4 linked regions of the Tamandua tetradactyla genome follow. The protein of the gene in region 1 interacts with the protein of each later gene in a pairwise test. Links are inferred from orthologs where the notes say so. Each region holds a gene or a part of one and is shown on either strand. Other genes may lie near its edges. The genes, in order: GSE1, C2H1orf94, TRIP6 and TNIK.

The links.
Region 2: the proteins of GSE1 (region 1) and C2H1orf94 interact in binary tests that used the Homo sapiens proteins (3 or more experiments, as listed by UniProt). The link is inferred for Tamandua tetradactyla from reciprocal best matches to the Homo sapiens genes GSE1 and C1orf94.
Region 3: the proteins of GSE1 (region 1) and TRIP6 interact in binary tests that used the Homo sapiens proteins (3 or more experiments, as listed by UniProt). The link is inferred for Tamandua tetradactyla from reciprocal best matches to the Homo sapiens genes GSE1 and TRIP6.
Region 4: the proteins of GSE1 (region 1) and TNIK interact in a two-hybrid assay, tested with the Homo sapiens proteins (2 studies listed by BioGRID and IntAct). The link is inferred for Tamandua tetradactyla from reciprocal best matches to the Homo sapiens genes GSE1 and TNIK.

Annotation. Positions count from the first base shown.
Region 1 is NC_135342.1:79,795,930-79,803,603, forward strand, and holds the start of GSE1 (genetic suppressor element 1), read left to right. Parts: upstream 1-4,670; 5' UTR 4,671-5,290; coding exon 5,291-6,280; intron 6,281-7,674.
Region 2 is NC_135328.1:191,532,354-191,539,363, reverse strand, and holds the start of C2H1orf94 (uncharacterized protein C1orf94 homolog), read left to right. Parts: upstream 1-4,002; 5' UTR 4,003-4,861; coding exon 4,862-5,190; intron 5,191-7,010.
Region 3 is NC_135349.1:8,877,332-8,884,544, forward strand, and holds the start of TRIP6 (thyroid receptor-interacting protein 6), read left to right. Parts: upstream 1-4,205; 5' UTR 4,206-4,415; coding exon 4,416-4,524; intron 4,525-4,755; coding exon 4,756-4,883; intron 4,884-5,000; coding exon 5,001-5,126; intron 5,127-5,388; coding exon 5,389-5,766; intron 5,767-6,068; coding exon 6,069-6,162; intron 6,163-6,268; coding exon 6,269-6,438; intron 6,439-6,898; coding exon 6,899-7,077; intron 7,078-7,213. Other genes in the region: SLC12A9 (solute carrier family 12 member 9), read left to right, coding at 1-173, 320-494, 690-836, 2,644-3,545. UniProt on the Homo sapiens protein: Relays signals from the cell surface to the nucleus to weaken adherens junction and promote actin cytoskeleton reorganization and cell invasiveness. Involved in lysophosphatidic acid-induced cell adhesion and migration.
Region 4 is NC_135331.1:68,895,019-68,902,602, reverse strand, and holds the start of TNIK (TRAF2 and NCK-interacting protein kinase), read left to right. Parts: upstream 1-4,581; 5' UTR 4,582-4,713; coding exon 4,714-4,770; intron 4,771-7,584. UniProt on the Homo sapiens protein: Serine/threonine kinase that acts as an essential activator of the Wnt signaling pathway. Recruited to promoters of Wnt target genes and required to activate their expression. May act by phosphorylating TCF4/TCF7L2.

The sequences.
Region 1 (7,674 bases):
GCTTACCTGCTCCCGGGCTCCTGACACATGGGAGAGAGGACATACCTGAGTCATTGGGTCCTTGTGGTAATATCCAGCTGGACTTCCACCCTGGGCTGCTTTACACACACACACACACACGAACCATGTGTGCACATATATACATACACATACCTTTACATGCACATGTATATACACTTTTGCACACATGCACACACCTATACATGTATACGTATATACACCCATGCACACACACATACCTACACATGCACACATTATATACGTGCATGCACACACATACCTATACATGCACACATGCACATACCTATACACACACATGTATATACACATGCCCACATGTATGGCACACTCAGGAAGTTTTCCTGGCTCTCCAGTTTAGCTGAGGAGACCCCACATCCCTCCATTTGGGCTCTCCTTGCTCTACCTCGTGTGCCACCCCCGCATAGCCCACCGTCTCCCAGAGTGCGGCCAGGCAGCGGCACCCGCTCCGGGCCAGGCCCCCTGCCCAGCGCCTCAGTCACTCTCACTGGAGCCGCGCAAAATGTCTGTGAGGTGGGGGTCACTGCCCCCCACCAGAGCAGAAACCTGAGGCTTTCTCATGGGGTTGAGGGTCTGCCCAAGGCTTGGGAGGGACAGGATAGGAGTGGGACAGGTTGGGGCGCTGGGCAGGCCCCGGACACACAGTGAGCAGGTCAGACCTGGCTCTGCCCTGGGGGAGGAGAGGCAGGAGTGAGCCAGACAGGGAGCGAGAGACAGAAAAACAAATAAAACCAAATTCCTCTGCCAGGGGCTGAGATGGAGAAGGACGAGGGGGAGGCCTGCGGGGGGTGGGGGGGGGGCGCGGTGGCACTGGGAGCCCCTCTGGGATGACATCTAAGCTGCTGGAGCCCGAAAAGCATTGCAGGAGGAAAGGGCAACACGTGCCAAGCCCTAAGGGGCCCAGGTGCTCCTCGATGGCCCACCTGGATCTGCTAAGCCCAGGCGCTGCTTCACCAGCAGTCCACGGGGGTGTGCATGTGTGTGGGGGGGCCACACAGTCCCCCAAACTGTGCTGAGACACAATGAAACAGACTTGCCCCTTTACAGTCTTCCTAATGAGCCCCCTCCTCTCGCCAGGTATTAAAAAAGCCAGGGGCCAGGCTCCGCCCTCCTGCCCTGCCCCCATGTCTCTGGGACAGTTTTCCTGACACAGCGTTTTCCCGGGCCTGGGTGAGGGACAGCAGTGCCAGCATTTTGGCAACAATGTTCCCGTTAACCCCTGGACTGTGACCCCTGGAATATCCACCAGGGACTCCAAAGACGTGGCCGTTTCCTCCTGTCCGTTTATTTATCCCTATTTTATTTTTATTCCATATGTTCTACTCATCTGTTGACAAGGCAGATAAAAGGAGCATCAGACACAAGGTTTTCACAATCACACAGTCACATTGTGAAAGCTATATCATTATTCAATCATCCTCAAGAAACATGGCTACTGGAACACAGCTCTACATTTTCAGGCAGTTCCCTCCACCCTCTCCATTACATCTTGGATAACACGGTGATATCTACTTAATGTGCAAGAATAACCTCCAGGATAACCTCTTGACGCTGTTTGGAATCTCTCAGCCATTGTCATTTAGTCTCATTTCACTCTTCCCCCTTTTGGTCGAGAAGGTTTTCTCAATCCCTTGATGTTAAGTCTCAGCTCATTCTAGGGTTTTTCTCAATCCCTTGATGCTGAGTCTTAGCTCATTCCAGGATCTCTGTCCCACGTTGCCAGGAAGGTCCACACCCCTGGGAGTCATGTCCCATGCAGAGAGGGGGAGGGTGGTGAGACTGCTTGCAGTGTTTGCTGCAGAGACAGGCCACATCTGAGCAACAAAAGAGGCTCTCTTGGGGGTGACTCTTAGGCCTAAATTTTAAGTAGACTTGACCTATCCTTTGTGGGGTTAAGTTTCATATGAACAAACCCCAAGACTGGGGGCTCAGCCTATAGCTTTGGTTGTCCACACTGCTTGTGAGAATATCAAGAATTCAACTTGGGGAAGTTGAATTTCTCCCCGTTCTCACCATTCCCTGAAGGCGGCTTTGCAAATACTTTTTCACTCACTGATCGAATCACTCTGGGATTCATTAGGGCATCACTCTGGACAAACCAGCAAAATCTCATGTCCTACCTGAGATTCCAAGTACTTATGACATTCAATCAAACTATCTACATGAGTTATATTAGGAAATGCACTAGTTAAAACATAAATTTTGTAACAAATAAACATTTTTTGCTTTAGTCTCACACATAAGCTGACCTTTTAAAATGTCCGTTCATTTTTAATGCATGGTCCGTCTCCTTGCCAAGAGGAGGCCCAGTTTTATTTACAAGTCATCGCCCCAGAGGACGGAGGGGCCAACCTGGCACCTTTGTCACCAGACCGCCTTCCGGGCTCCAGCTGGCAGGTTGGGACAGCTGTCACTGCTCAGAAATCAGAACTCCTAGAATTCTGAGGCCGAAAGGGGCATCATTTCACAGATGGGAAATGTGAGGCCCAGAGAAGCTGGAATTGCCTAATTGCCTGGCTGGGTCCCCCCCACCCCCTGACATGAAGGTCTCTGTCCCAGCAGAGCGGGGGAGAGGCGGCCCAGCCAGGTGGCTGGGACCAGCCCTGGAGCCCACTCCCGGGGTTTGAATCCCAGCTCTGACCCTTCTGAAAGTAACAACCTTCAGTGCCTCATCTCTTCCACCTGGAAAGTGGGGCTGATGACAGCGGCTCACAGTCATTAGAAGGAGTAACTACCATGCGCGTTAAACCCCTCGAACAGTGTGCAGCACCAGTCAAGTCTCCATGTGTCTGCTAAATATGACATATTTATATACATAGGCAAGAAATACACGGGGACAGTTCATCTCAGCTGCAGCTCCTGTTGACAAGAGAAGGAAAGAGTCCCAGAGAGATTGAGTCGCTTGCCCAGAGACACACAGGGTCATTTCGCCTCTGTCGGTGACCCCAGTACCCTCTGGCCAGCAGTGGGAAGGCACGTGCCCGGCCAAGGATTCTGCCCCCACGGACAGGGATCATGGGGACAGTTCTCTTCTCTGCCTCCAAAATGAGAGCAGTGGCCCCTGAAAGGTGCCCAGCACCTGGTAAAAGGTGCTCACTGCACGTCCCCTCTAGAATGGGGACAGGGCCAGGTCCCCCGGCCGGGATAGCCCCCGACCAAACCGTCCGCCTTCAGCGGCCCCTCCCGAGGCCTGCCCTTCATCGATGGCAGCTGGGTCTCCAGGGGCCGCTGCGTCCTTACCTGGTTCCGCCCGCGTCCCGCTTGACCTTTAGCTAAAGACCAGCTCCGGCAGCCCCGGGGCTGCCTCGGGTCCCCGAGGAGGCCCCTCAGACGGCTTTGGCCGCGCGGGCTGGAGCGAGCCCCTAATTGGGGCCATGAATCATTGTGCGCGGCTCCGGGGCTGGACACAAAATAGATAGAGGAGCCGGCGAGCTATTGTGCGCAGTTTGGGACGCGGGAGGAGGGGAGGCGGGCGGAGGGAGGGGGAAGGGGGAGGGAGGGGGAAGGGGGAGGGAGGGCTTCCCCCGCCCGCCCTCCCGCCCGCCCGCGCGCCCGGCCTCCCGCCCTCCCCCTCCCCCTCCCCGCCCGCCCGCCCGCCGCCCCGCCTCCCTCCTCCCCAATTAAATGACCCAACGCTTTGGCAGGCGCCGGAGCTCGCACATGCGGCTGCCGCTCCAGCCGCCCGGGGCCCGCCGCCGCCGCCGCTGCGTTCCGGGCGCGCTCGCCGCGGCGCCGCCTCGGCCTGGGCCGCCGCCGCTGCCGGGGGCTCGGCGGGCCCGGGGGGCGTCCCAGCGGGCGGCCGTGCGCCCGGGCCGGCGCCGGGCGGCCGCCGCCAAACTTTGCGGCGCGCACACATGGTGGGAGCTGGGCGCGGCGGGGCGGCCTGCGGGGGCGCGGGCGGCCGGGGAGCGCGGCCATGAGCGGGCGGGCGGCGCCGGTCTCCCGCAAGCAGCGGCTCATGGCCGCGCTGGGCGAGCGGGCGGCGGGCGGCGGCGGCCCGGGCTCCGCGCTCTCCTGCTTCATCTGCGGCGGCGGCATCGGGCGCGGCAAGGAGCTGAAGCTGCAGGTGAAGCAGCCGGCGGCTGCGGCGACGGCGGCGGCGGCGGGCGCGGGGGCCCCGGCGCAGCCCTTCTTCCCGTTCCTGCAGCAGCAGGAGCCGGCGCCCGGCGCGCGCGAGCTGTCCCCGGCCGACGGCTGCGTGCTGGTGTGCGCCGTGTGCCGCTGCTTCCTGGGCGAGCAGTGGGCGGCCTTCGAGCGCGCCCGCACGCCGGTGGACAAGCGCATGTACTGGCTCAAGCGGCCCCACCAGTGCGACGCGGGCGCCGGCGGGCGCCGCGGGGGCGCCGGGGCCCCCCGCGAGTGGAACGTCGCCTACGCGCTGGGCGCCGCCGCGGGCGACGACGACGACCACCAGCGCTCCGAGTCCCGCGCGGCCGCCGACGAGGTGCGCGATTCCGAGCTGTCCGAGCTGTCGGACACCGACCACTTCTCCGAGCCCGACCCGACCGCGCGCGGCGCCGCCAGTCCCCTCCAGGACGGGGCGCCCCCGCCGCGGGCCACCCCGGGGTCCGGCACCCGCGGGGACCGCGACCAGGAGTGGAGGCCAGTGCCAGGGCCCCCTCCGGGACAGGGCGTCAGGCCAGCCGCCCCCGGGCACGTGGAGGAGGGGGTCCCCTCGAATGCCCACGTGGGCGCAGAGCCCAGGGTCGGCGGCAGGCGCAGGCGGAAGGGGGCTGAGAGGCCGTGGGTCCCCGAGGCTCGGGCCAGCGTCCTGAGGGGCATTCAGGACACTTGGCAAGGCCCTCCCGGGCAAGTGCCCACCGCAGAGGGCAGGAAAGGGGCTCCGTCGGGCAGGGCCACCAAGACTCCAGAGAGCAGGCCTCTGGGGGAGACACGCGGAGGCTGCTTCTCCTCTGAGGACAGCGACATCAACATCACCAGCGAGGAAGAAGATCGCAAGGAGCAGCCTTTCCTGGACCGCAGGGGCCCCCAAGAGAAGGAAAATGGTGGCCGTGTCCCTTGGGTTCCCCCGGAGAGCCGGCCTGGGCCACCACTGGAGGGCCTGTGCTGCTACATCTGTGGGTCTCTGCTGTCCCCGGCCTCCCAGCACCAGATCCACGTGCAGAAGCAGGAGAGGCTGGCCCAGGCCCCCTTCTTCCCCTTCCTGTGGCTGCACAGCCCGCCCCCCGGGGCGCAGCCCATCGGCCAGGGCGGCAGCACCCTGGTGTGCGCCTGCTGCTTCGCCTCCCTCATGCAGCAGTGGCAGAGCTTCGAGCTGGCCGATGTCCCCGTCCTGCAGCGGCTGTACGTGGTGCCCCTGAACCGCCACGCCCCCGGCCTGGCCTCCAAGGGCCCCCGAGCCCCAAAGGAAGAGGGCCTGCCCCCCAGGCCCCCGCGAGAGGCCTGCTACCTTTGCGGGGAGGACTGCACCCAGGATGCCCGAGCAGTGCCCTCCCGGGTCCTCAATGGCAGTGCCAGGAGCACCATGCACTTCCCCTTCCTGGGCCTCCTCCCCTGCCCCCCCAACGCCCGCGCCCCCAACAAGCACTGTGAGGTCCGCAGCTGCCCCAAGTGCTTCAGCATCCTGGAGGACGTGTGGGCCCTGTACCGCGCCTGCCAGAACGAGGAGCTCATCACCTCCGTGCAGGGCTTCCTGGGCAGGTACCACCAGGCCTTCTCTGACCCTGCCATCTCTGAGCCGCCCGCGTCGGTCCAGGGCGGCCCGGCGTCCATCTGCTACGTCTGTGGGGCTGAACTGGGCCCCGGCAAGGAGTTTCAGCTCAACGTGAACCCCTCCAGCCGCCTGGGCGAGAAAGAGCCCTTCTTCCCCTTTCTCACCGTGTACCCGCCTGCCCCGCACGCCAGGCCCGCGGATGCCACCGGCCTGGTGGCCACATGTGCACTCTGTTACCACGACCTGCTGGGCCAGTGGCTACAGCACGAGGCCCGAGGCGCCCACCATGCTGTCAGTGCCTGGTCGCGGCAGTACCACGTGGACACGTTCGTGTGCTTCTTCTGCCAGCAGGAGAAGAAGCGCTGTCTCGGGTTGAGGGCCGTGCGGGTGGCCCGGCTGCCCCTGTTCCTGTACACCTTGCGAGCGAGCCACAGCCTGCTGGTGGACGACGGACGACAGCTCATCATTGGTGCCTGTGTGGAGTGCGGGACCCTGGTGTGTGCTGGCCATGGACTTGGCCGCCAGGGATCCATAGGCTGGAGCTCCCCAGTGGCAGCGGCGACGAAGGTAAGCAGTGCATCCCGACTTGCCTCAGACTGTTCTTCTGAAATCTGTGCAGGGATGGGAGAGACCAGTTTCCATTTCCCTGTGGGCAGGAGTGTGCATTGGCTCTGGGTGGTGTGTCTCAGCAAGAGGTGCTCTCTTGGGTCACTAGGCTGGCTCTTGGTGGGTGCCTTGGCCTGGCTGAGGTCAGAAGACTTGGAGGGCCAGGAGCAGGCTTGTGGGAGAACAGGGCGCTGCTGCAAACAGTCGGCACAGAGCTGAACTTGAATGTGTTTGCTGCGGAATCTATCAAAGAGAGGAAGTTCATTGGCATGTCTGTTGTCCTCCTGATAACATTAGTAGTTAGTCCAGCGAGGCAGGTCTCAACATTTACCCTGTATGCAGCACATCAGAGGTGAATATGCCTCTCGGCTCTAACTCCCCCCAAAGCTAAGCTTTTCCCGAGTTTTCCAGCAGCAAGTCCACACTTTTCCTTTGAGACACTCTGCTTGCTTAACAGCAGCTAGAAACGGATTTCCAGACATGGGGGTGTGGGGATGCGGGGGACAGTGGCCTAAACAGACTTTTCCCCCAGTGGGAAGAGAGTCTTTCTTCTCTGCAAGTCAGCTGTGCAGGACGTGGGAGGGAGGCCTGGGCTTCTCCCTGTTTGCAGGCGCCTGTCTTCACGCTGCCTGCCCAGGAGGAGCCAGACGAGGCTCAGTTAATTTTGGATCCCGATTTGCAAGGGCTGAAGCAGGAACTGCCTGCCCCATGGGTCTGGGGAAGTGGCTGCCTGCAAGCTGCAATCTTTGCCTAGGCCTCCGGGGCTGTGGGGCCTAATTTCCACCGAACATTGAAACTGGCTCATTTTAATCAAATGCCTGGTAGCCAAGGGGTCTGCAGGGGGGCGTGTGGGTGGGAGGGTGTCCCTGTCCCTGTCCCTGTCCCGTGCAGGAATGGTTGTTCCAACTCTTGAACATTTCCTGATCCCGCCTCCCACGTGTGCACATGTATGCGTTTTGGGGTGGGGAGGGGTCCCCTTGTTATGTGTTCTCAGGTAGTTGCATCTGTGAAGTGCATGTGTTTGTCCCATCTGTGGCCCCACGCCCACATGCTCTGTCCAGGTTTCCCCTGACATCTGATTTAGACTTAAAGCTGCCTTTGGGGGCGTTGTTGGGAGCGCCTCTTATTTTAAACCAGCAGCATGTCGCCCCCGTGGCACACCCCGAGCCTCTCCTCTGCGGCCTGGGATAAACCAGCCGGCCGGTCGGGAGTCCGAAGAAGGGCAGTTCCCAGAGGAGCAGAGGCAGGAAGAAGAGCCTGGGCTTTGCAACAGGATGAACCTGGCTCCAATCCTGCCCCTCGCTCTTGGTAGCTGAGCAGCCGTGAGTAAGTGTCTTAGCCTCTCTGGGCTTCAG
Region 2 (7,010 bases), on another chromosome or scaffold:
AAATGGCAGGGATTGCTCATGGTCACCAGAAGGGGAACCCACAGAGTCACAGTTTTTCTTCTTGAAGACATATCTTTTAAAAAACCAGACTCTGCAGCCCAGTCTGGTTGCTGGGACATGCAGGGGAGGCCCATTCCCAAGAAACATGTTTGCAACCTCCTCTTCCTTCAGTTCTGATGGTCTGTCTCTGAAGAAATCTGGCTAGGACCTACCTCTGCATGGGCCCCGCTCCTGAGCTGTTTGACCCAGTAAGCATACTAGACAGGGTAACTGGGGTCTCTCCCATTTTTAGGGACCTACAAAAAAGTTTTAGGCCTGAAAATGTCATTATTAGCTTCAAAATACAAAGAGGAAAACCTGCAACATTTAAATCATTAAATAATTAAGTGCAAAATGTAACATTATGTTAAGTTCATTAACTGTTGAATTCAGTCATAAAAATTTCATTACATTTGATAAGAGTTTGTAGTTTGGATTTTTCTCACTGTGCAAGATATCCTGAGTAGGCACTGAGACTGGTGAGAAATCATAGCCAATCGTACATGAAATATATTACTCATGGCCCCAAATTTTCAAACGCAAAATGGAAAAACCCTCTCAATTTTCTTTACAGCCAAAACGTTGTATTTTGGAGGCGAGGTGGATGTGTTTGAAACATATTAGATGCAGATTGGAGCCTGTAAGAGTAAGCAGACTTAAGCCCACAAATACCTTAAAAGAGCCCAGGCTGTGTGCTCACCTTTCTGGATTCTCCAACCCAGCAGCTTTGTGTTGGAGGTGGAAGCTAGGTGAGTGCAGGCTTTGGCTGAAAGATATGTGAAAAGGATTGCCTTCTTCGGAGGCATTCCTAGAGCCAAATAGGAAAGTAAGAATTCCAGAACCCTAAATAATCATAGCTGACATTCGTTGGGTACCTAGCATGTGCCAAGCTAACTAGTCTAAATACTTTACATGTATTATCAATTATCATGAACAACTCTGTGAGGTCAGTATTTTTATTATCTCTGGCTCATAAATGAGCAAATAATCCTAGAAAGGTTAAACAACCTGCTCTGGGTAATATGGTTAGTGAGGAGTAAATTAAGAATCTTTCCAAGCTAAAAATAATTCAGAGATGAAAGGCTGTCTGTTAACATCTAATGAGTCATTTCAAGCTCTAAGAAGGAAGGGACCAAGCCAGTCTTCTTCACTATCTATCTTCAGCACCCCAAACAGTACCGGGCACATACATCTGTGTTGAACAGAGACTGGAATAGCATTTATCAAACCCGTGCTGTACTCCAGGGCACTTATAGAATGCTTGTACCTCCTTTGTTAGACTGTGACTTTGTTTAGAGCAGAGGTCTCATTCACCCTAACTCCTGTGTCTCACACAGTCTTGGCCCATGGTAGGTGCTCAAAAACCTACTTTTTGTAGATCCCTAAAAATGGGGGAGACCCCAGTTACCCTGTCTAGTATGCTTACTGGGTCAAACAACCATGCAGAGGTAGGTCCTAGCCAGATTTCTTCAGAGACAGACCATCAGAACTGAAGCAAGAGGAGGTTGCAAACATGTTTCCTGGGAATGGGCCTCCCCTGTATGTCCCAGCAACCAGACTGGGCTGCAGAGTCTGGTTTTTTAAAAGATATGTCTTCAAGAAGAAAAACTGTGACTCTGTGGGTTTCCCTTCTGGAGACCATGAAGGCCAGCTTAAATGAGGCCTGGTGTCCATTTCTCTGCCACAGAGCAATTTCCTGTACAACTGAAAATACAGCGAATATTCTCCTTTTTGCATGGCACAAAGTCTTGTTATTCAGGAACTCCAGAGACACACAGTCCAATATAATCAGAGAAAACTAATACACAGCATGTTTATATGCTTCTTATTTGCCAGGTGTTGTTCTAGGAACTAGCCATGTGGTAAGCAATTATTTAGTAATAGAACATTTATAACAATTCTACAAAGCAGGTGTTCTTTATCATTCTCATTTTACAGATGTGGCAACTGAAGCACAGAGAGGTTAAGTAACTTGCCTGAGTTTACGCTGCTAGAACTCAGAATTTGAACCCAGGCAGTCTGTCCTAGAGCCTATATGATCACGGAAATGTCTCCTGTGCTAGTATTCTAAAACTAACCACATGTGGCTGTTGGGCACTTGAACCGTGGCTAGTACAACTGAGAAGCTGAATATCTAATTTTATGTACATTGAATTAATTAAACCCAAATAGCCACATGTGACCAGGGGTTACTGTATAGCACACAGTTTATATTATCTCTAAGTGTATCAGTTAAGGTCTGCAGCATCTTCTGGAAGCCTCAGTTGTGTGCTCCAAGAAACATCCTTATCATTGTTCCCTGTCCCGTGTCTCCTGCTAAAGGGGAGAGAGGGCAGAAGGAGTAAGTGAGCTGGCTAACTTTCCAGGATCCCATGGCCTGGGTAGTGCAGGGTAGCTGGTGTTCTGCTCTAAGCATAGGTGTTAGCCAACCAAATGCCAAGTAGCACAAACACTGAGTGACATTTTCAGAACTATTAATATTTCATCAGAAATTATCACTTTGCCTTTAAATACACTATCTTAAAAGGTTTTCTACATTCTTAACTATAATTTTATTCAGTCTAGGTCCTTGGAATTTTCCCCAAAGGAACACGTTTTCAATTTTATAATGAAAATCAAAGAGGGATGAAGCTCGGATTTCAAAATTGAGTCAACATTTCCAGGAACTCAGCCTCTCTGTAAAGAGCAAGGTAGTGTATTGGGCACCTACTATATGCCAGACACTTAACATATAGTATACCATTAATTCACTCAACACATATTTACTAAGTGCCCACTATGTGCTGGAAATTTGAGTCTCATATAATTTATTATGGTTTACTGTCACCATTTTACAGGAAAAACTCTCTCTCATCCTTCCTGCCATCTCAAAAGTTATGTCCTCAAAGAAGTCTACTGGACCATCGTCTTATGGGGACCCACCTACTCCCCATTGCCTCACTTTGTTCTTTTCCGTCCCAGCCCTATTGATCCATAAATATTGTTTATTTTTTGCTTTGCCAAGTCTGTGTGATCTATCATCCTTCCCTGGAATACAGGATCAGGTGAGCTCTTTTGTTCATTTTCGTGTTTCCTCAGTGCCCAGCAAGGGCCAGAGGAAGGGCTAATCAATATTTAGTGAATGAATGAGTACATAAGATGGGAGAAGTTAAGCAAGTCGATCCAGGTCCCACACCTTGGAAGTGGCAGTGCCAGGAGTCAGTCCAGCTCCATGTCTATAGGCTGCCTTCTCGTTTATTTGTATCCATTCCATTTTCTTCTTTCTCTGCCTTCTTACTCTTCCTTCTCAGAGGAAACAACCCGAGGAACAACCACTAACTCCTGGGGCTGGAGGGCCTGGGGCAGAAGTCTTGGGTCATTTCCGAATGTAATAAAACAGTTTCAATGAGAGCAGAAGCTACCTGACTAGCAAACTGCACACTTGGCCCTTCTCTCTGCACCTCCGCACCCCCCACCGCCGCCCATTCCCAGGACGCGTGGAAGCCCAGCGCGGGAAGGAAGAGGCTCTCCCGGGGATCAGAGCGCGGGCGCAGGCCTCGAGTGCCTGGGTTTGAATCCCAGCGCCCGTTTTCGCTGTGGGCCTTCAACTCATCCGTTTATGACCGTGAGACTGTTTCTGCATATGGGGAACGATAATAAAGACACGGTATTAACTGCGTGAGTTTGCAGAGATTGTGTATGATGACACGGAGAGCTCAGCGCTCGGCACACAGGAAGTGCCCATAAAATGGCACTTAGGGTTATAATCGGGCGATGTGGAGGAGCACGGCCCGCTGGCTGGCGCCGAGGTTCCTGCGGAGCAGCGGGGAGAGGAGTAGCAGGGTGAGAGGCTGCCCCGCTTTCTTGGATTTCTAAGAAGGGAAAGTGCCCGGGACCCTCGGGGCGCCCCCGCCCCCACCGCGGCGGCCTGAGGGCCTCGGACGCCGAACCCCCGCGGCCCGCGCCCCGAGCCGTTGCGTTTGAAAGCCACAGAAGGAGTTGCAGCGCTGGACGGGAAGGGTGTGAGGGCCGCTGGCACGCAGATAGGCCAAAGCCGCCCCGCCCTGCCCGCCCTGCCCGACAGCGCCCCTTTAAAGCGTCGGGACCCTTCCGGGGGCCCAGCCCGGCCTCCTGGCGCGGGGGGCGCGACCGGCGTCTGCTGGGGCTGCCGGGGGCGGCTTGCGGGCCGCCCGGATTGACTGACTCAAGTTTTCTTGCCCCGGGGCGGCAGAGCAGCCTCTGGAGAAGGCGACAGAAGGGGGTGGGGGGCGAGCAAAGGCGGGCACTCGGTGGGGAGAGGGGGTCAGGGGCCGTTGGCCCTCGGCCTGGGAAGGCCGGAGCTGAGATTCTAAAGGCGGGCTCCTGCCCCCACCGGGCCTAGCCCGGAGCCAGGCGCCTCACCACTCCCCCCCTCCCCGTGGCTTAGTAGGAGAGGATGGGCTGAGCCCCAGGCGCCGCCAGGTGTCAGGGGTGTGTCGCAAGGGTGGAGCGCCTGGGATTCTGGGGAGAGCCAGCCCTCCCCCTCCAGCCGTTCCCAGATGTCCTTCTGCCCGCCCAAGCGCCTGGTTCCTGAGCTCCGGGGGATTCCACGGTTACTAAGCTACTGGTTTTTGTTGACTTTTAAATATTTTCTTCTAAGGGAGAGGGGGAGGGGGACAAAAGTCAGGGAAGAGCAGATACAAACAAATCAAACTAAGCTCCCCCTCCCCAAAAGAAAGCCGTCCTCTACCCACCACTCACAGACAAATCAGGGGCCTCAGAACATAGTCACCTCGTCCAAGCAACGGCCAGCCAGAACTGACCTGCCTCTGCCAGTGCCCATCCTTATCTCCCTTTCTGGTGAATGAAGGGTGGTGGCGGATGGTCCCTCTGTCTGCGAGCCCTGGGCAGACAAAGGGGCTTCCGGAAGGAAAGGACGAGAATGGCCAGTGGGAATGGATTCCCTTCATCCTCGGCCCTGATGGCCAAGCGCCCCTCCGCCCTGGGCCCATTCCCCAGATACATCTGGATCCACCAGGACACACCCCAAGACAGCCTAGACAAGACTTGCCATGAAATCTGGAAGAGGGTTCAGGGTCTGCAGGAGGCCTTGCAGCCCAGGACCTCAACGGAGCAGCCCTCTGCCCCCATGGCTGGGACTCCACGAGATAACAGGCTCAGCTTCCAAGAAGAGTGAGTGTACCCCTGCTTGGTTGGCATAAGGGAGGAGGGAGGAGATGAGTTCTGACTTTCCGGGGAAATGCTCTTGCCCAATATTCAGTCTGATTAAACCCTAAAGACTATATACTTTTCCTCTACCCTTCCCCATGGTCTTTTGTTCAGCCTTTCTGGAAGAGCTGTCTTAGGTCTTGACGTTACTGGATGAAGGGCCAGACCAGGGCTGTATTCCAGGCTGCTTCTTCACCAGCCCAGTAAGGGGACATATTTCATCTTCAAGGCATAGCCAAACCAGATTTGGGGTTGAGGTTCCTCAGAAAACGCCCTAGCCAAGGCTGAGGAGCATGTAGATATCTCTTTTGAAGCTTGTGGGCCCCGGAGACCCTTGGCTTTCCCCGGAATCTGACAGAAGATCCTTCTTCTGACCCCCCCCCCCCCAAAGGTTGGGCATTCACACAAGATAAGCCTGGTGGTTTTAAACCACATCTGGAATTCCCTAATACAGGAAGCAGCTGTCCCATTCAGCCTTCACAGAAGCTGCTGCAAAAGCTCACATCAAAATATTTACTGGGAAGGCATTGACATATTCAGAGGACATAATAGAAAATTAAAGTGTGGGAAGAAGGCTGTAAATAGCCCGTTTCCAGGATGGGAAATCCTGTGTCTGGGATACACAGAGCTAAATGTTTCTTTACCAGGGCAAAATTGGACAGATATTGTTGGGAATAGATATTTGCAAGGAGAGAAAGAAGCAGCGAAAAGGAAGAGACCTCATTAAGAAAAAGAAAATAAATTCAGTGTGGCTGTTAATGCCACTGTTGAGCACTTCTTCAGTGCTTTACAACTTCAAAGTGGACCGCAAACATTAATTAATCCTCCTGGAGTCCCGATGAGGCAGGTATTAGTGTCCCCATTTTACAGATGGATTAAGTGTTAACAGTTAAGTGCTAATTAAAGACTAAGCGATAATTAAGTGTTGTCTATGCCAACACATGCTCCAGCTCAGTTCAGAGATGCTCTGGAGTGGGGGAACCATGCAGGCAATTATCAGCTGCCTCCAGATTCAGGGATCTCCAAGCAAGAGCTAAGGAGAAAAGCAAACTATAGCTGCTACACAGGTCTGCACTGAATGCTGCACTTACCAACTGGCTGCAGACCAGGGTGGAAGGCACTTTGGCTGCGAATGCCTCCCCTGCCCTATGCTGAGCAGGATAAGGCTTGGATGGGAGTGGCCTGTCTAAAGCCACAGTCGTGCTGTCAGGCCCTCCAGTGGCAATAAGCCTCTCTCCCCTACCCATTGCCATCTGCTCAGAGACAGGGCCTTGGCACAGGGACCCAAGGGACTGTGCTCAGGTCCCATTGGCCAGGCATCCAATTGTCCACTTTGTGGACCAAGGGTCAGTAGCAATTTCCAGTAGGCGGCACACTCCCTGCCAGGTCCCACTGAGTGAATAGAGACAGACTCTCTTCCAGTCTGTACTTGGCCAAAAATTGAACTGGCACACCTTTGACCAGTTGCTTAATTTCATTTGGCCTGGATTTTCTCATCTGCAAATTGAGGATGATGTGTCCTGCCTTGTCCACCTCAGAGTTGATAATGAGGATCAAATATGATGGAAGACAGGAAAACAGAGATGCATTATACTAATGTAGGCTGTCCTTAAAATATAATTCTTGGGTTTGGGCATTTTTGTTGCTGTTGTTATTGTTGACTTCTACCTGGAGTTCTAAACCCATGCTCCACAGACCCTAAGGTGTTGCAGGGGCCACCCAAGAGTCAAGTGGACTGGTTGCTGGGTTCCAGTCCCCACTTCAACCCAGCTGTTCTGTTTTTA
Region 3 (7,213 bases), on another chromosome or scaffold:
CCTGGCACACCTGCCTGCTGGGGGTGGCCTCCTGCCTGCTCATGATGTTTCTCATCAGTCCCGGGGCCGCCGGCGGCTCCCTGCTTCTCATGGGTCTGCTTGCTGCCCTGCTCACAGCCCGAGGAGGCCCCAGCAGCTGGGGCTACGTCAGCCAGGCCCTGCTCTTCCACCAGGTTGGAGGAGCCTGGAGGAGAGTGGGAGGGAGGCAGTCTGTGAAAGCCAGCCTCCTCCCTCGGGGGTTGGGGTTCGCATTCCTGTGGCACAGCGTGGGGACTGCCCCTTCCGGCCCTCCCTCCCACCCCCTCCTCCCTGTCCCCAGGTTCGCAAGTACCTGCTCCGGCTGGACGTCCGGAAGGATCACGTGAAGTTCTGGCGACCCCAGCTGCTGCTCCTGGTGGGGAACCCCCGGGGGGCCCTACCTCTGCTGCGGTTGGCCAACCAGCTTAAGAAGGGCGGCCTCTACGTGCTGGGCCACGTCACCCTGGGGGACCTGGGTGAGCTGCCCACATCCCCACCCTTCCTTTCTGCTTGGTCTCAGGCATTCTGTGTGTCCCAAGCGCCTTGTCCTTCTTCCCACATGACCCAGCTGACCAGCCACCCAGGCTTTTTCCCTCTGCCCATTAAGGGTTTGGTCTCTACGAGAAAGTAAATGAGTTTGTCCGACACTGGCCACCTCCCTTTCCCTGCAGACTCTCTGCCCTCGGACCCCGTGCAGCCGCAGTACGGGGCGTGGCTGAGTCTGGTGGACCGGGCCCAAGTGAAAGCCTTTGTGGACCTCACCCTCTCGCCCTCCGTGCGCCAGGGGGCACAGCATCTGCTGCGAATCTCAGGCCTTGGTGAGCCTCTCCTCCCTGCCCCACCCTTTAAATCTCAGCTCCCGCCCCAGAGAGTAAACCATAAACTGCAAACCCCAAAAGGAAATCATGATCTAGTACAGCTAAGAGGCAGTGCTCAAAGATAACAGCCTCAGACAGTGGATGATAAGGTTTCCTCAGAGATGCAAAGGACTAAAAATGGGGTGATACTGCTTTTTTTTTTTTTTTTAACCCCTGAGCCAAAAAAAAAAAAAAAACGGGGCACAAGCTCTGATTAAGTAGGTTATCTGGGGACAGTGGAAGAATGATTTGAGTCTGGAGCTGCCCCATCTGAAGTAGCGCAGATGGTTTCTCACCACCAGAGTTGAGAAAAAGGAAGACTACCATGCACGGAGGTGGCCAGTAAAGAGTGTGAAGGGACGGCATCTGAGCCGGGCCTTAGGGGGTGAAGGCAGGCATGGTGCAGTGCAGTCCAGAGACCACAAAGCACGCTGGGGGCACGTGGGGTTGATGCTCTGGGATGGGGGGAAGGTTCCCAGCTTTGCAAATGTATCTTGGAGCTGTGGCTTCTGGCCTTGTACCACACGTCCTGCCAGATCCATGCTCAGCTGCCTTCTCTGCCCTTCATCCCTGGGCTGGTGTCTGTCTCCTATGAGGGCAACCCACCTCCCCCATTTAGAACCTGGCTCAGGTTCATCAGTGTTGGACATGGCCCTATTTGGTACCAGTCAGAACCCTAGAAAATGCTCAGGAGGGGGTATGTCTGGTTGAACTTGCAAGATCGGCTTTAGTTCATACCTCCTGAGAGCTGCCCTTTGTGAGGATACCTGTGCAGAGACCCCTGCTTTCACAAAGTGCATCTTGATTTAAGTAAAAGGGAAGGGATCTCTTCTAATTAGGAAATTCTCCCGGCACATAGAATTTGACTTAGTGGTAAATTTTTAGCAACCCAGTTCCTTTCCAAGAAAGGGACTTAGGAGAGGTCTCAGAATTTTCTTGCAAATTCAGCCCTTTCTAAGGGGGAGAATTGCCTGATTCCCCACTGCTGTTCAAAAGTTAAAACTCAAGCCCTCAGCAGGGACGCTGTGGTTTGTGCACACATCAGCTTAGGGGTGCCAAATACTCGGCTGTGGTGCCTGGCAGCCTGTGTTCTCACACTGGCCCGGCCACTTACTGGCCTTGAGACTTTGGGCTGGTGATTTCACGGCTCTGTGCTCATTTTCGTTGTCTGTAAAAGGGGGAGCACGGAGTCCCCACCCCGGAGATTGTTCCAAGTATTAAAAAGTTAAAATATGAAGGGCTTCCAGCAGGCCCTGGGCCCTGGTAAGCATGGAGATGTTAGCTCTGTCTTCTCCCAGGATTGTGGGGAACTATCCTTGGGGCGGTGCTAGAGGGGAAACAGGCCGCACAGCTCCACGTTCTCTTCCCCTTGAGGCAGGGTCTGGAGCTGAGTTTCCTGGCCACTGAGGCTGTGAGCTTGACTAATCAATTGGGGTGTTTGTTCTGCCCAGTGGGGTCTGCTTCTCATCTCCCGCTGGCAAAAAGATGTGCTGCTTCAAAGCTTGGAGTGAATGGCAGCCGGGTCCTTGCTTCCGACCAGGACTGCTCCTTAGTTAAAAGAATCCTAAGGCAGACTTTGTCTATTTAAGCAGCGATCAGTAGTGTTGATCAAACAAATGCGCCTGAAAATGCTGAGGAAGAACTAGAAGTCAAGATGCAGATGCGCATTATGAGGCCTTAAGAGGCCAAACCACTGGCTTGAAGGTGCTATCCGGTGAGCGCGCACCGCTGATGCAGAGCCCTTCTCCCCGCCTCCCCCTGCCCGCAGGCGGCATGAAACCCAACACGCTCGTCCTGGGCTTCTACGACGACGCGCCGCCGCAGGACCACTTCCTGAGCGACCCGGCCTTCTCCGAGCCGGCCGACGCCGCCGCCGGGGAGAGTGGCGCCCCGGCCCTGAGCGCCCTGTTCCCGCCGCCCCGGGCTCCGGGGAGCCCCCGGGCCCTCAGCCCCCAGGACTACGTGGCCACCGTGGCGGACGCCCTGAAGATGAACAAGAACGTGGTGCTGGCCCGGGCCTGTGGGGCGCTGCCCCCGGAGCGGCTCGGCCGGCGCCCGGGCGGCCCCCCGCAGCCGCACCACGTGGACGTGTGGCCCCTCAACCTGCTGCGGCCCCGGGGTGGACCCGGCTACGTGGACGTCTGCGGCCTCTTCCTGCTGCAGATGGCGACCATCTTGGGCATGGTGCCTGCGTGGCACAGCGCCCGGCTCCGGATCTTCCTGTGCCTGGGGCCCCGGGAGGCCCCCGGGGCGGCCGAGGGGCGGCTCCGGGCGCTGCTGAGCCAGCTGAGGATCCGGGCCGAGGTGCAGGAGGTGGTGTGGGGCGAGGGCGCCGGGGCGGGGCAGCCGGAGGCGGCCGACGAGGGGGAGGAGGGGGACTTCGTGAACGGCGGGCGGGGGGACGCGGAGGCCGAGGCCCTGGCGGGCAGCGCTAACTCCCTGGTTCGGGCCCAGCAGGGGCGCGGCGGAGCCGGGGGGCCCGGGGGGCCCGAGGGCGGGGACTGGGACGCGGGGCCCGCCACCGCCCTCACCTTCCTGTACCTGCCTCGGCCACCAGCCGACCCCGCCCGCTACCCGCGCTACCTGGCGCTGCTGGAGGTGCTGAGCCGGGACCTGGGCCCCACGCTGCTGGTCCACGGCGTCACCCCCGTCACTTGCACGGATCTCTGATGGCCCAGGCAGCCCTTTCCTCGAGGGGGCGGCCGCCTCGGCGAGTGGGGAAGGGGGACGAGGGCAGGCGCCTCCTCCCGCTGCCCTGGAGCCGGATGGAGACGCTCCGGGCGGCCAGAACCAGGACCGGGAAGCCCCCCTCCCCCTCGTGCACCGCTGCCCACCCCCCTGAGCCCGGGGACGGACGGGCCGCTGTCCTCTCCTCGGACCGGTGCCTTGACAGGAGGGGCTGGTTCTCCTCTTGTGACTCTAGGCTACCTCAGTTTACTCCTTCGTGGCTGACAGACTCACTGACTCCTGAGGTTGTGATGTTTTTGTTCTGTTTTATTTTTCTAACTCTGCTGAACGTGAATAAAAGACCCAAAAACTCGGCTGGCTGAGCATTGCCTGGTGGGGTCGGGGAGGGGGCGGGGAACGGGGACATCTGCGGGGGCGGGGGGGAGTGGGACAGAGAGCCGAGCGGTCCCTGCAGAGGTCCACGTGCGGAGTCGGGGGTGGGAGCCAGGGGCGGTGAGGGCCGTGGAGGCTAGTTTGGGGTGGGGAGTTCGTGGGGGCTGGGGGCTGGCGCGGGCCCCATCCCGTCCCGGGCGGACGCGGGTGGAGCCCTTCCCACTCGGCAAAAGGGGGCCAAGTCGGGGAGGGACGGCAGTTTGGGGCCTAGGGGGCCACGTGACCCTCCCCCAGGAATGCGGTGACGTCATCGGAGGCGTGGCCGTCCCCCAAATTGGGGAGGAAGGGAAAAAAAAAAAGCCAGAAAAGTTTCTTTCCTGGAGTCCCGAACGAAGCGTGGAACGACAGAGCAGGCCACGGCTGGAGGACCCTCCGCGGTCAGGGGACCACTCGCTGGAGCCTCCTCCCCCATCCCAGGCCATGTCGGGGCCCACCTGGCTCCCCCCGAAGCAGCCGGAGTCTGTCCGAGCCCCTCAGGGGAGAGCGTCCTCCCGAGGCTCCCCGGGGCCACCGCCAGCCCCCGGAGCAGGTAGGGCAGCCCTGCGCCGCGCGTGCGGCGGGACGGGACCACCGCGGCCCAGCGCCCTCCCTCCCGCCGGCGCCTGCTTCCTGCCGCCCCCTCCCCCAGGCCGGGCTGGGGCTGGCGGCCAGGGTCCCCCTCTCTCCCCGCCCTGCAGCCCTCCCTGCCAACTCGGACCCCAGGTGTACTCCTCCTCCCCTCCCTCATCCCCACCTTTGGTCTCTCTTCCCCTCATCCCAGCCCTCCAGCCCCACCCCAGGGTCAATTTTTGCCCCCTCCCATCTGAGCAGTGTTACCAGGCCCCCGCGGTACCGGAGGATCCGGGGCCAGCCTGGGTGGGGTCCTATGGAGCGCCCCAGCGCTCACAGGTGAGAACTGGGATTGGGGGGCAGGGTGCGTGGGGCCCTCGGAGCTGAGTGTGAGCCGGACCCAAGATGGGAGAGGAGATGTGATTTGCATTCTCTCTGCTTTTATTCCATCCCCAGGGACTCCCCCCAGATAGGGGGGGCTTACGCCCAGGAAGTCTGGACGCTGAGATAGATTCTCTGACCTGCATGCTGGCTGAACTGGATGGGGGTCGTGGTCATGTCTTACGGCGACCAGACCAACAGGTGAACCCCTGTCCGGCCCCCTCCTGCCCCCAGCCTGCCCATCCTCCCCAACCTGTCCCTTTCCCTCGGTTCTCAATCCAAATCCAGTCCCCTTCCCCTTCCTACCCCATACACACCCATATTGAAAAGCGTGGGAACGGGAGCTCTTACTAATTGTCTGTGACTCAAGGGCAGGGCCGCCTCAAACACGTGGAAACACATGGTTCCATGAACACATGGTCTGGAATGGGCCTTGGTCATTGTGGTCTGTGTTTCCCCCCAGGCTTATGAGTCCCCTCAGCCCCCTGCCTACCGCTCCAGTTCCCTGAAGCCGAACAGAGGGGGTGTTCCAGCCCTGCAGCTCCCAGCATCCTCCTATGGGGGTCCCACTCCGGCCTCCTACGCCACTGCCAGCACCCCAGCTGGCCCGGCCTTCCCTGTGCAAGTGAAGGTGGCTCAGCCAGTGAGGGGCTGTGGGCCACCGAGGCGGGGGGCCTCTCAGGCCGCTGGGCCTCTCCCTGGCCCCCACATTCCTCTCCTAGGCCGAGGGGAAGTCTGGGGGGCTGGCTATCGAAGCCACCGGGAGCCAGGGGGTAAAGAGGAGGCTGCTGGGGTTTCTGGTTCAGTCGGAGGAGGAAGAGGAGGCGGATATGGGGCCCAGGTAAGCCTGAGGCACTGGGATTTTGCGTCCTCATGGACAACTAGATGCTGATGGTACGGGGTACAGGGTGGAGTTTAGTGTCCTGGTTTTAAATCAGAGTCTGAGGGCCCGGGCCTCAGAGCTCTGGATCCCTGAGGGATGTGGGCAGCCTGGGAAACAGGAGGGAGAGGGCTGCCATTGGCTCTGTGAAGCACTCCTGTACCTAGGGCTGAACTGTTCTCAGATGGGTTTTCTGGGTTGACCTGTCACTGTCAGGAGTAGTTGCCAGAGGTAGGACTGAAACCCCGATTCTTGCCTCCCAGGTCCCCCTGAGCCAGCCTCCGGAGGAGGAGCTGGAGAGGCTGACCAAGAAGTTGGTGCACGACATGAACCACCCACCCAGCGGGGAGTACTTTGGTGAGCAGGGTGGTGGGAAGGGGCAGGGGGTACTAGAGAGTCAGAGGGACGGTGGGCCTGTCTTCCTGGGTCTGTGCAGGCTGACCTGTTTCTTCTCTGACCCTAGGCCGGTGTGGGGGCTGTGGAGAAGATGTGGTCGGGGATGGGGCCGGGGTGGTGGCCCTCGACCGAGTCTTCCACGTGGGCTGCTTTGTCTGTTCCACATGTCGGGCCCAGCTCCGGGGCCAGCATTTCTATGCTGTGGAGAGGAGGGCATATTGTGAGAGCTGCTACGTGGTGAGTGGCTGGGAGGCTGGCATTGGCAGCAGGAGGCAGGGGGCTTCTCTCTAATGCAAGAACTAGCTGTCCAAGCCTAAAAAAGGAACAGGTTCAAAGCTGGGAGAATTGAGACTGAGACAGGAGAAGAAAGGAAGAGTTAGGTAATAGCTAAAGATCTGGGCTGCTGGTGGGGAAGGACAACATTCCTTTCAAGAGCAAGGCAGATGAATTAAGGAGCTGCCTTAAATTCCCACCATGCCCCTGCCAGGCAGGTATTCCTATTGCTTCCCATTTATATAGCTCAGAGACATGAAATGACTTGTCCAGTAACCTGCAGTGCTGAGACTTGAACTCAGGTCCTTTGCAATGATTGTTCACTGAATCACTGGCAGTGGGCTAGATAAATAGATGGTGGGCTGACAGAATGACTGGAGAGCTGCCACGGGGCCCCCTGACCATCCTGCTCTCTTCCCCACAGGCCACCCTGGAGAAGTGCTCCACGTGTTCCCAGCCTATCCTGGACCGGATCCTGCGGGCCATGGGGAAGGCCTACCACCCTGGTTGTTTCACCTGTGTGGTGTGCCACCGTGGCCTTGATGGCATCCCCTTCACTGTGGATGCCACCAGCCAGATCCACTGTATTGAAGACTTCCATAGGTCAGGCCCTGCCCTGCCCTTTCTCTCAGGATGCCCGGCTCTTCCCATCTCCCTCACCTCTGCTGTTTGCCCAGCACCAGTCCTGTTTCTAATCCCTGGCCCTGTTCTTTGGCCTCACTCTTTTCCCTAAGACCCC
Region 4 (7,584 bases), on another chromosome or scaffold:
CTCTGGGAAAGCAAGGACTTGGTGTTCTCCAAGGTGTCTCAGTTTGCCAGGGCTGCTATGGCAAATACTCCACAATGGGTTGGTTAACTCGAGCAACGAGAATTTTCTGCTTCCTGGTTTTAGAGGCTGGAAGTCCCACAGGACGGCACTGACAGGGTTTGCTTTCTCCTGGAGTGTGCGGCAGGCTGGTAATCCTCCATCAATGCAGCTTTCTCTCTCTTCATGTCCTCCTCAGATTTCTGCTGACTCCTGGCTCTTCCTGACTGCCTGTGTTCAAATTTTCTCCGCTTATAATGACTCCAGTCATAAGGATTAAGGCCCACTCTGATTCCATTTGGCCTTGAAGTAGGATCTTCGGAGTTCCTATTCACACATGAGGAAACACCTTAACAAGCAGTAACATCTTCAAAGGTGCTATTTGCAAATGAGTTCACACCCAGAGGACTATGGGATTAACATGTCTTTTGTGGAGGGCATGATTCAATCTTTGTGGTAGGCTGAATTATGTACCCCAGAAAAAAAACATGTTCTTGATCCCATGCCTGTGGCAGTGAACCCATTGTAAATGGGACTTTTGAAGATGCTATTTTTAGTTGAGGTGTGTCCACCTGAATCAGGATGGGTCTTCATCCTGTTTCTGGGGGTCTTTAAAAGAGAAACCACAGAGAAGCGCCAGAATGGAGGAGCTAGAAGTCAGAAGATGAAACGCAGGCATCAGATGGACCTCAGAAGAGACACTGTCATGTGATGGGAAAGACAAGGCACCCCAAGATTGCCAACCTGCCAGAACAACTACCCATCCCACGAGGAAGCAAGCCTTCCAGTTTACAAAACCATGAGACAGTGAATTCCCATTACTAAGCCAACCCACTATGCATCTACGTCATAGCAACCAGGAAATTAAGACAATTTCCAACAAAAGGCTTTATCTTCACAGCTTAGAACTGTATCTTGCACAGAGTGAGCAATCTGTATATTTGCTGAATGAATCAGAGAATGAATTACTGCAGTTCATTGGTCACTCACCCAAATAAATGTGCCTAATCCTAGATCCATTGCCCCTAAGCTTGAAGCTGCCCCTGCTCTCACTCTAGTCCGGCCCCAGATGGTTTTTGATTGTGGCTCCATTGGTAATCCAGTCTTGCCTGTTTTATGTAACCTAAGAAATCCTCTGAGTTTCCGGACTACTGGGGCTGCATTTTTGTGTCTTCTAGAACTATAATGAATTTTTTAAAATATCCTTTTTTGTTATATCTAGGGATTTCTGTTATTATAGAAGATGCAGGGAATATGCTTTTAGAAGGTACACAAGCGGTATTTCAGATCCCCAGTGTGATTTTAGGTGGTGCATGATTTGACATTAAATAATACTGAACCTAAAAGCGAGAACATTACCCACTTAGGGATTTTCTTTCTTTTTTATAAATATTTAAAAATATATAAACATTTTTCAAATATACAGAAAGAAAAAGAACAATACCATGAAATCTGATCACCAACCATCCCGATTTAACAATTCCAAACAATTTATCATATTTGCTTGAGGTCTTTTTGCTTTTTTAAGACAAATTAAATATTGTTGAAGCATCCTTTGTGCCTTCCCATTTCTTTTTCCCTTCTCACTATGCTAAGGCTGAGCTGTCTCCTTTCTGCCTGTGTCCATGCTTTTCATAGTTTACAACAAATTTATATGGACATAAAATAGCATGTAGTATTTTTCTGCAGGCTTTCAAATTGTACATAAATGGTATAAATTCTCTCAATCTTCCAGACTACACCAAAGAGGAAAATTGTACTTTGGTTCACGTCTTGAATGCCTTTTCTGGCATTTACTAATCTCTCTTTTAACAAAGTGAAAGCAGGCCTCAGCCTAAAAGCCCGGGGCAAGCGATGATAGCTAGCTTCAATTTAATAATATTCATTTATTTTCCATTATGTTTATTTTAATTGTTCCTTTCTATTTTTTACCAAGTGTTGCTAGCTTTCCATGTACCATAGTGATTTATGTTTCCTTTTAAATTAATGTAAGAAAAAAAGTAAAGTATTGATTTAAAAAAAAGTTTAGCAATAATAACAGTACAGGTATACACAGACCTGACAATAAGTTACAAAGATTGTACTGGAGTAGCTGAAATTTCATACACACTTGACCTGGAGGATAAAGTTCAAGGTCCTCATTTGAGCATGCAAAGCTCTGCCTCATCTGACCTCTGCTTACCTCTCCAGTCTTTTTAACAGTCACCAGCCTTACTTTTCTTCTAGCAACACATCTGCTTAGAGTTTCTCCTCATCTTACCCTAACAGCTGGCGGTGCCTTCGCTATTGTGATCATCCCCCTTGTATGGTATTGTCTGCAGCCAGTATCCCCGCCTCCTCCTCCCCTCTCAGCTCCTCTCAGGCCCCTAGGACGCCCTCTACCTCACCACTGCACCGAAAGCAGAATTTCCTAACCAAATTCTGAATCCAAGGATAGAAATTTGATGCCCGTTATCATTGCACACTCATGGCCTGGACAGCGTACTAATGCCTAAAGAAGCGATCCGTTTGTGACATTTTGAATAAAATCTGGGTAACAAAATCAAGATGCTTTATGGAAAACAAACAAAGCAACCACATCTTTACCCCATTTTTTCCTGTGTTGGAGGTTTAAAAATAGTTCTATTTATAGATCTCAATGTCTGATCCTTATTTTCTTTCAACATGAGTCAATACATTAATTTTCTAGATGAAGGACAAAAAAAAGGGGACATAGGAGGGAAGAACAGGAAGATGAGAAATGAGCTTTTTCTTTTTACGTCATTTCGCAGAGCTTGGGGGCTTACTGCATGTTACTTACTGCACTGAACCGTGTGGTTGTGTTAGAAAATGAGAGGTCACAACAAGCGCTTTGAATATAACACGTTAATACGCTTGAAAATAATGTTTAAAGAGAAAGCTCCCAAACAAAACTGTTATGAGATTTTAGAGCAGCTTTCAAGTTTCATACTGAATGATCCACAATGTATAGGAATAAATACGATAATATTAACAAAAACAGTACAGCACACACCAATGTTGTTTAAAAGCCCCCTAATGTCTGGCAGTCAGGCTGAACTAACTGGTTTGGCTTCCATTCATTCAGTCAAGATCCTTACTCGGAGGAAGCTGAAATGCACACCACATGATTTCAAAGTCCTCAGTGCACTTGGCCAGAAGGAAATTCTCTTCCTATCAGAGGTGCAGAGAATATTTCCAAAGTTACTACTGTATTTGGGGAAAAAGTTCAGTTTAAAGCGTTTTCTTCTTAAATATCTAATGGAGCGTGGCCCAGGCCTGAGAGGAAGGGCTTGAGGGAAGTGATTTCACACCCTCGATTACAGAATGCCAGGATTACCACTGTAAACATTCGGCCTTGCAATGAGAAAGCGAGTGAAGGGCAATTGTTCTCACGCGTACATCTTGCCTGCTAACATTTTATCCTCCGGCCAAACTTTCTCCACTAGTTCGGATAGGTCAGCGGAGGAAACGCTGGCTGAAAAAGAAATGCAGAATCTTGGGGCAGCGTGCGCTGCCTCAGCCAGTGCTGCCTTTGGACAGTTACCTGGAGCACAGAAGCAACTACAACCTAAGCACAAGCTTCTCGGTTCAATTCGGTCGTTTCCGTGGGGGAACTGCGGCAGGGGCAGGTCACGGGTGTGGCGAGCCCAAGCCGGAGCTACGATCTCCCGGGTTTCCGGCTTCTGGCAAACGTCCCCTGCCCCGAAGCGGCGGGGGACAGGCCATCCCACATCCCGGAGACCGCCGGAGGCCCCGAGCCACAATCGCTGCAAACTGCCAAATGGGGCTGGGCGCACTGTATGCGCTCCTCTCCCTACTCGCTCGCAGGCTGGAGGCGGATCTCCTCTTCCTGCACACAAGTCCTTATATGAACCGGCTGCACCCACCGCGTAACTCCGGCCCCACAAATTCATGATGGGGGAGGGAGGCCGTTGCTCTTTCTGCCTCCGACTTTTGTCAACGCCAGAGCATCTTGAGACCCGCCGAGAAATCCCAGTGTGCGATGGCACGGGCCATTTTGCTGCAGCGCACGAATCGAACACAAGAAGAAAGCCTTGTCAATATGATAAGCACGTCAGGGTTCAGGATCAGCCTTTGGGATCCAGCCCGACGCGCCCGCGAGAGCCTGGGCGGAAGGGGTGCACCCCTCCCCCCTCGGTGCTGGTGCGGAGGACCGGTCAGGAAGCGCGACCTCGCCCCATTCCGAGACCACGCCTCCTCCGCGTCCTTCCCCCTCCTCCCCTTTACTCCTCCCAGGAAGCGGTGATCGACAGCTCGGTGTGGTTCTCCACCCCCACCCCCAAGCTGAGTGGAGGAGTTGATGTGTCTCATTATAACAGCCAATGCAGCCGCCATCCACGCACAAGCAAAGAAGCATGCCCCATTTAAATACACCCACGCAGCCCTAGCGCCCTTAGCCGATCGGGGCGCTCAGCCCACACGCACCGCGGCTCCGGGCTTGGAGATCGGCGCAGGTCGCTCCCGGACCCGGCGGACAGGCTCGCCGAGGATCGGGATCCGACGCTGTGGGGGGTCGGGGTGGGCGGGGGAGGCTGGGCCCGGGGACCTCTGGCGCGACCCGCTCATGAGGACGCGAGTGAAGTAGAACCGAGGTGGAATTTGCAAGGGAAAAGCTTTGAGGTGGTTTTGGTCCATTTTTCCGGAGAGGAAGTCGACATGGCGAGCGACTCCCCAGCTCGCAGCCTGGATGAAATTGATCTCTCGGCTCTGAGGGTGAGCAGAACGCGTTTTCCGATTTCTTTCCAGTGGTTTCGGGCTGGGTGAGTGGGCTCGGTGCGGGGGCTGGGGCTGACGGGCAGAGGCAGGGAATGGAACCGGCAGGGAACTTGGATTGTCGGTTGGGTCCGGAGACTGCTAAGGTGCTCCGGGATGAGTCGCGGTGGCAGGGACCGTGCGGTACGTGTCCTCCTTTGGCTGTGGCTCAGACTTCTGTGAGAGCGCGTGGACCTTATGCCAGTTTCATCTTAGACCAGTGTCAGAGCATTAAAATGAAAGACTTACTGGTGTGTGTGTGTGTGTGTGTGTGTGTGTGTGTGTGTGTGTGTGTGTGTGCACGCGCGCGCGTACACGCCCAGGGCAGCCGTCTTGTGCCAAGGCGCGAGACCCGACTATCCCTTTCTGCAAAAAGAATGATCAACGGCGTGAATAAAAGGCCCCTGCTCCTCGCGTTTTGCAGCTACCTGCAAGATGACATTGTGTGCATGACTGTCCCCACGAAGACGAACCTGCTGCCCTAAGGGGCCAGCGATTGCTAGGCTGGTCTTGCAGCTGGCCCCTGCCTCCCCTCCCCGTCTGCCTCCTGAGCCCCGGCACCCTTTCCGCGCTCCGGGAAATGTCATTCTGCCACTCACCTTTCTGTCTGCTTTTCACTCAGCCCCGCCCGTGCTTTCTGACTTTGTGGCTGTGACAATTTAGCTTGATGGCTGCACTCAAGCAGGTGAACGGCAGGTCTTTTTCTGCTACCACCCCCACCTCCCATCGCGCCGGAACTCCCGGGAATGTCTGTTTTCCTTGTGTCTGGGGCCAGTTCTTTGTAGCGCCCCCCCTACACCTTCCCCCCCACGGCCCCGGCCCCACTGGTTTGCCTTTCCCTCGGCGCGAATTGCCTGAGATGCCGTTCCATTGTATTGACTAAGACATCACTGGTACAGAATCCATTTTGCTGTTGTTTTGAGATAAGAAAACCAGGAATCCCAGTGCAGCCTCTACGCTTCCCCACCCCCCACTCCCAATCCCAGTACGGTCCTCAGGGGAAGGGGGCAGAGCTTTCTTGCCATTTTAATTAGATGCTGCCTGCCGAGAAAAGAGTGAGGAGAAGGATTGGGCACCGATTTATGGACGATGGCTTCCTCTTCTGAACCAAAAAAAAAAAGCCACTGCATGTACTTGGTGCATTGGAGGGTCAATGAGACCGAATGGATGAGGGGCTCTCAGCACAAACACGCAGGGTGGGTGACACACTGAAGTTCACACATGCCCTCGCAAGGAATATGCCGTTCAGACTGATGCTAAATCTTGGGCCGTTTACCTGACTCCGGAGTTCTGACTTTGCTTCGGTCTCCACGAATATTTTAAAGAGTTCCCACTCTGATCAAAGCGGTTTTATTTTTTTCTTTAGCCTCATTAATCCCACTCTCTCCAGCCCCCCCCCCCCTTTTTTTCTAACTTCCTTCTCCCACTCTAAATTCTTCAGTCCATGAGGTGAGGTTTCAGCAAGGCAGTCAAGGAATTGAGAGGGAACAGAGATGCCATTTGAAACTGGCTGTTCTAATAGTTGGGCAGCAAAAGCTCATTCATGTGCCATTACAGTAAGCTGTTTCTCTGGTGCTGAAATGCCACGTTCAGAACCCGCTGTCCCCTGGGCAGCTGCGGGGACTGGGGGCTGGGGAGTGGGGAGGGAAAGACGGAGGTTTCTTAACAGGGTGGGTGCTTTGGCCAAGTCTGTGGTTTCCTGCTTTAGGGGCTGTGTGTGTTCATTCGCCCTACTTTCTGCCCCAGGCATTGCTGTGGCCGCGGTTAATCAGGTGGATGGGTGGCCCAGACTTGGGGGCGGGGGAACAGTTCCTGGGGACAGGAGCTGAGCTACCGGCAAGGTTGGTGATGTTTAGGAGGCTGAATCTCAGACACCGCTCCTCTAATGCAAAGCACTCCGCTGTGATTTTAAGTTGGGCTGAGATGTGTCCTCCTGGGATTTTTCCTCGGGAAGATTTTCTGAGACACCCAAGCACAGAGCCTGGAGGCTACCAGCAGCGGGTTCACCCAGCCAGTGGGGTGTGCGGCTCACACTTGGGATACCTGCGCTTGTGAAATTTGCATTTTGCAAAGGTATTTTTCCAATAATACCTGTGTGTGTGAAATTTGTATTTTGCAAAGATATCTTTCCACGATTCATTGGTATGGCTCTTTGTGGCCTGCCTGCAGTGCCAGTTTAGTGCAAAACTGGAAAGGGGGAGGGCAGTAGCACCAGAGATTGAGAAGTGCTGGCTGGTGGTGAACTTCAATGGAGATGGGAGACAGTCACATCCCCGGGTGCTGGGGGCAACCCACAAGTCTCGTGGGGGCATACAAGCCAGGAGAGGGTTTAGAGGCCACACAGGTAATCTCCCCAAATCAGAGGGCAGATCGTCGCTGTCTTTCCAAATTAGGAGAGGTGGGCTCAGCTAAATGAATTTGTTCCCCAAGATCTCAGAAAGGCCTCTGTGCCAGAAACCTCCTGGGGAATGCCTGACCCCTGAAATGCAGCCAAGGTCAGTGGCTTCTGGGAGAATTTGCTGCAGCCTTACCAATCCCTTGCTGTTTCTGTGGCTCTCTAATGTACACAATCAATGCTCTTTTTGTAAACCCTAGGCTCAATGCATTAAAACCAGCTCATGTCTGGAGAAGGCTTTATCCTCATTTTGGGGGTTTATTGTTCTCAGCCAGTGATCCTAGAGCTGGACCCAGTCTAATTTTTCCCTAAATAGTAACAATGCATAATTTAAACCAGGGCAACCAGTGACAGCACTTATCATTTAAATTATGCAAGGT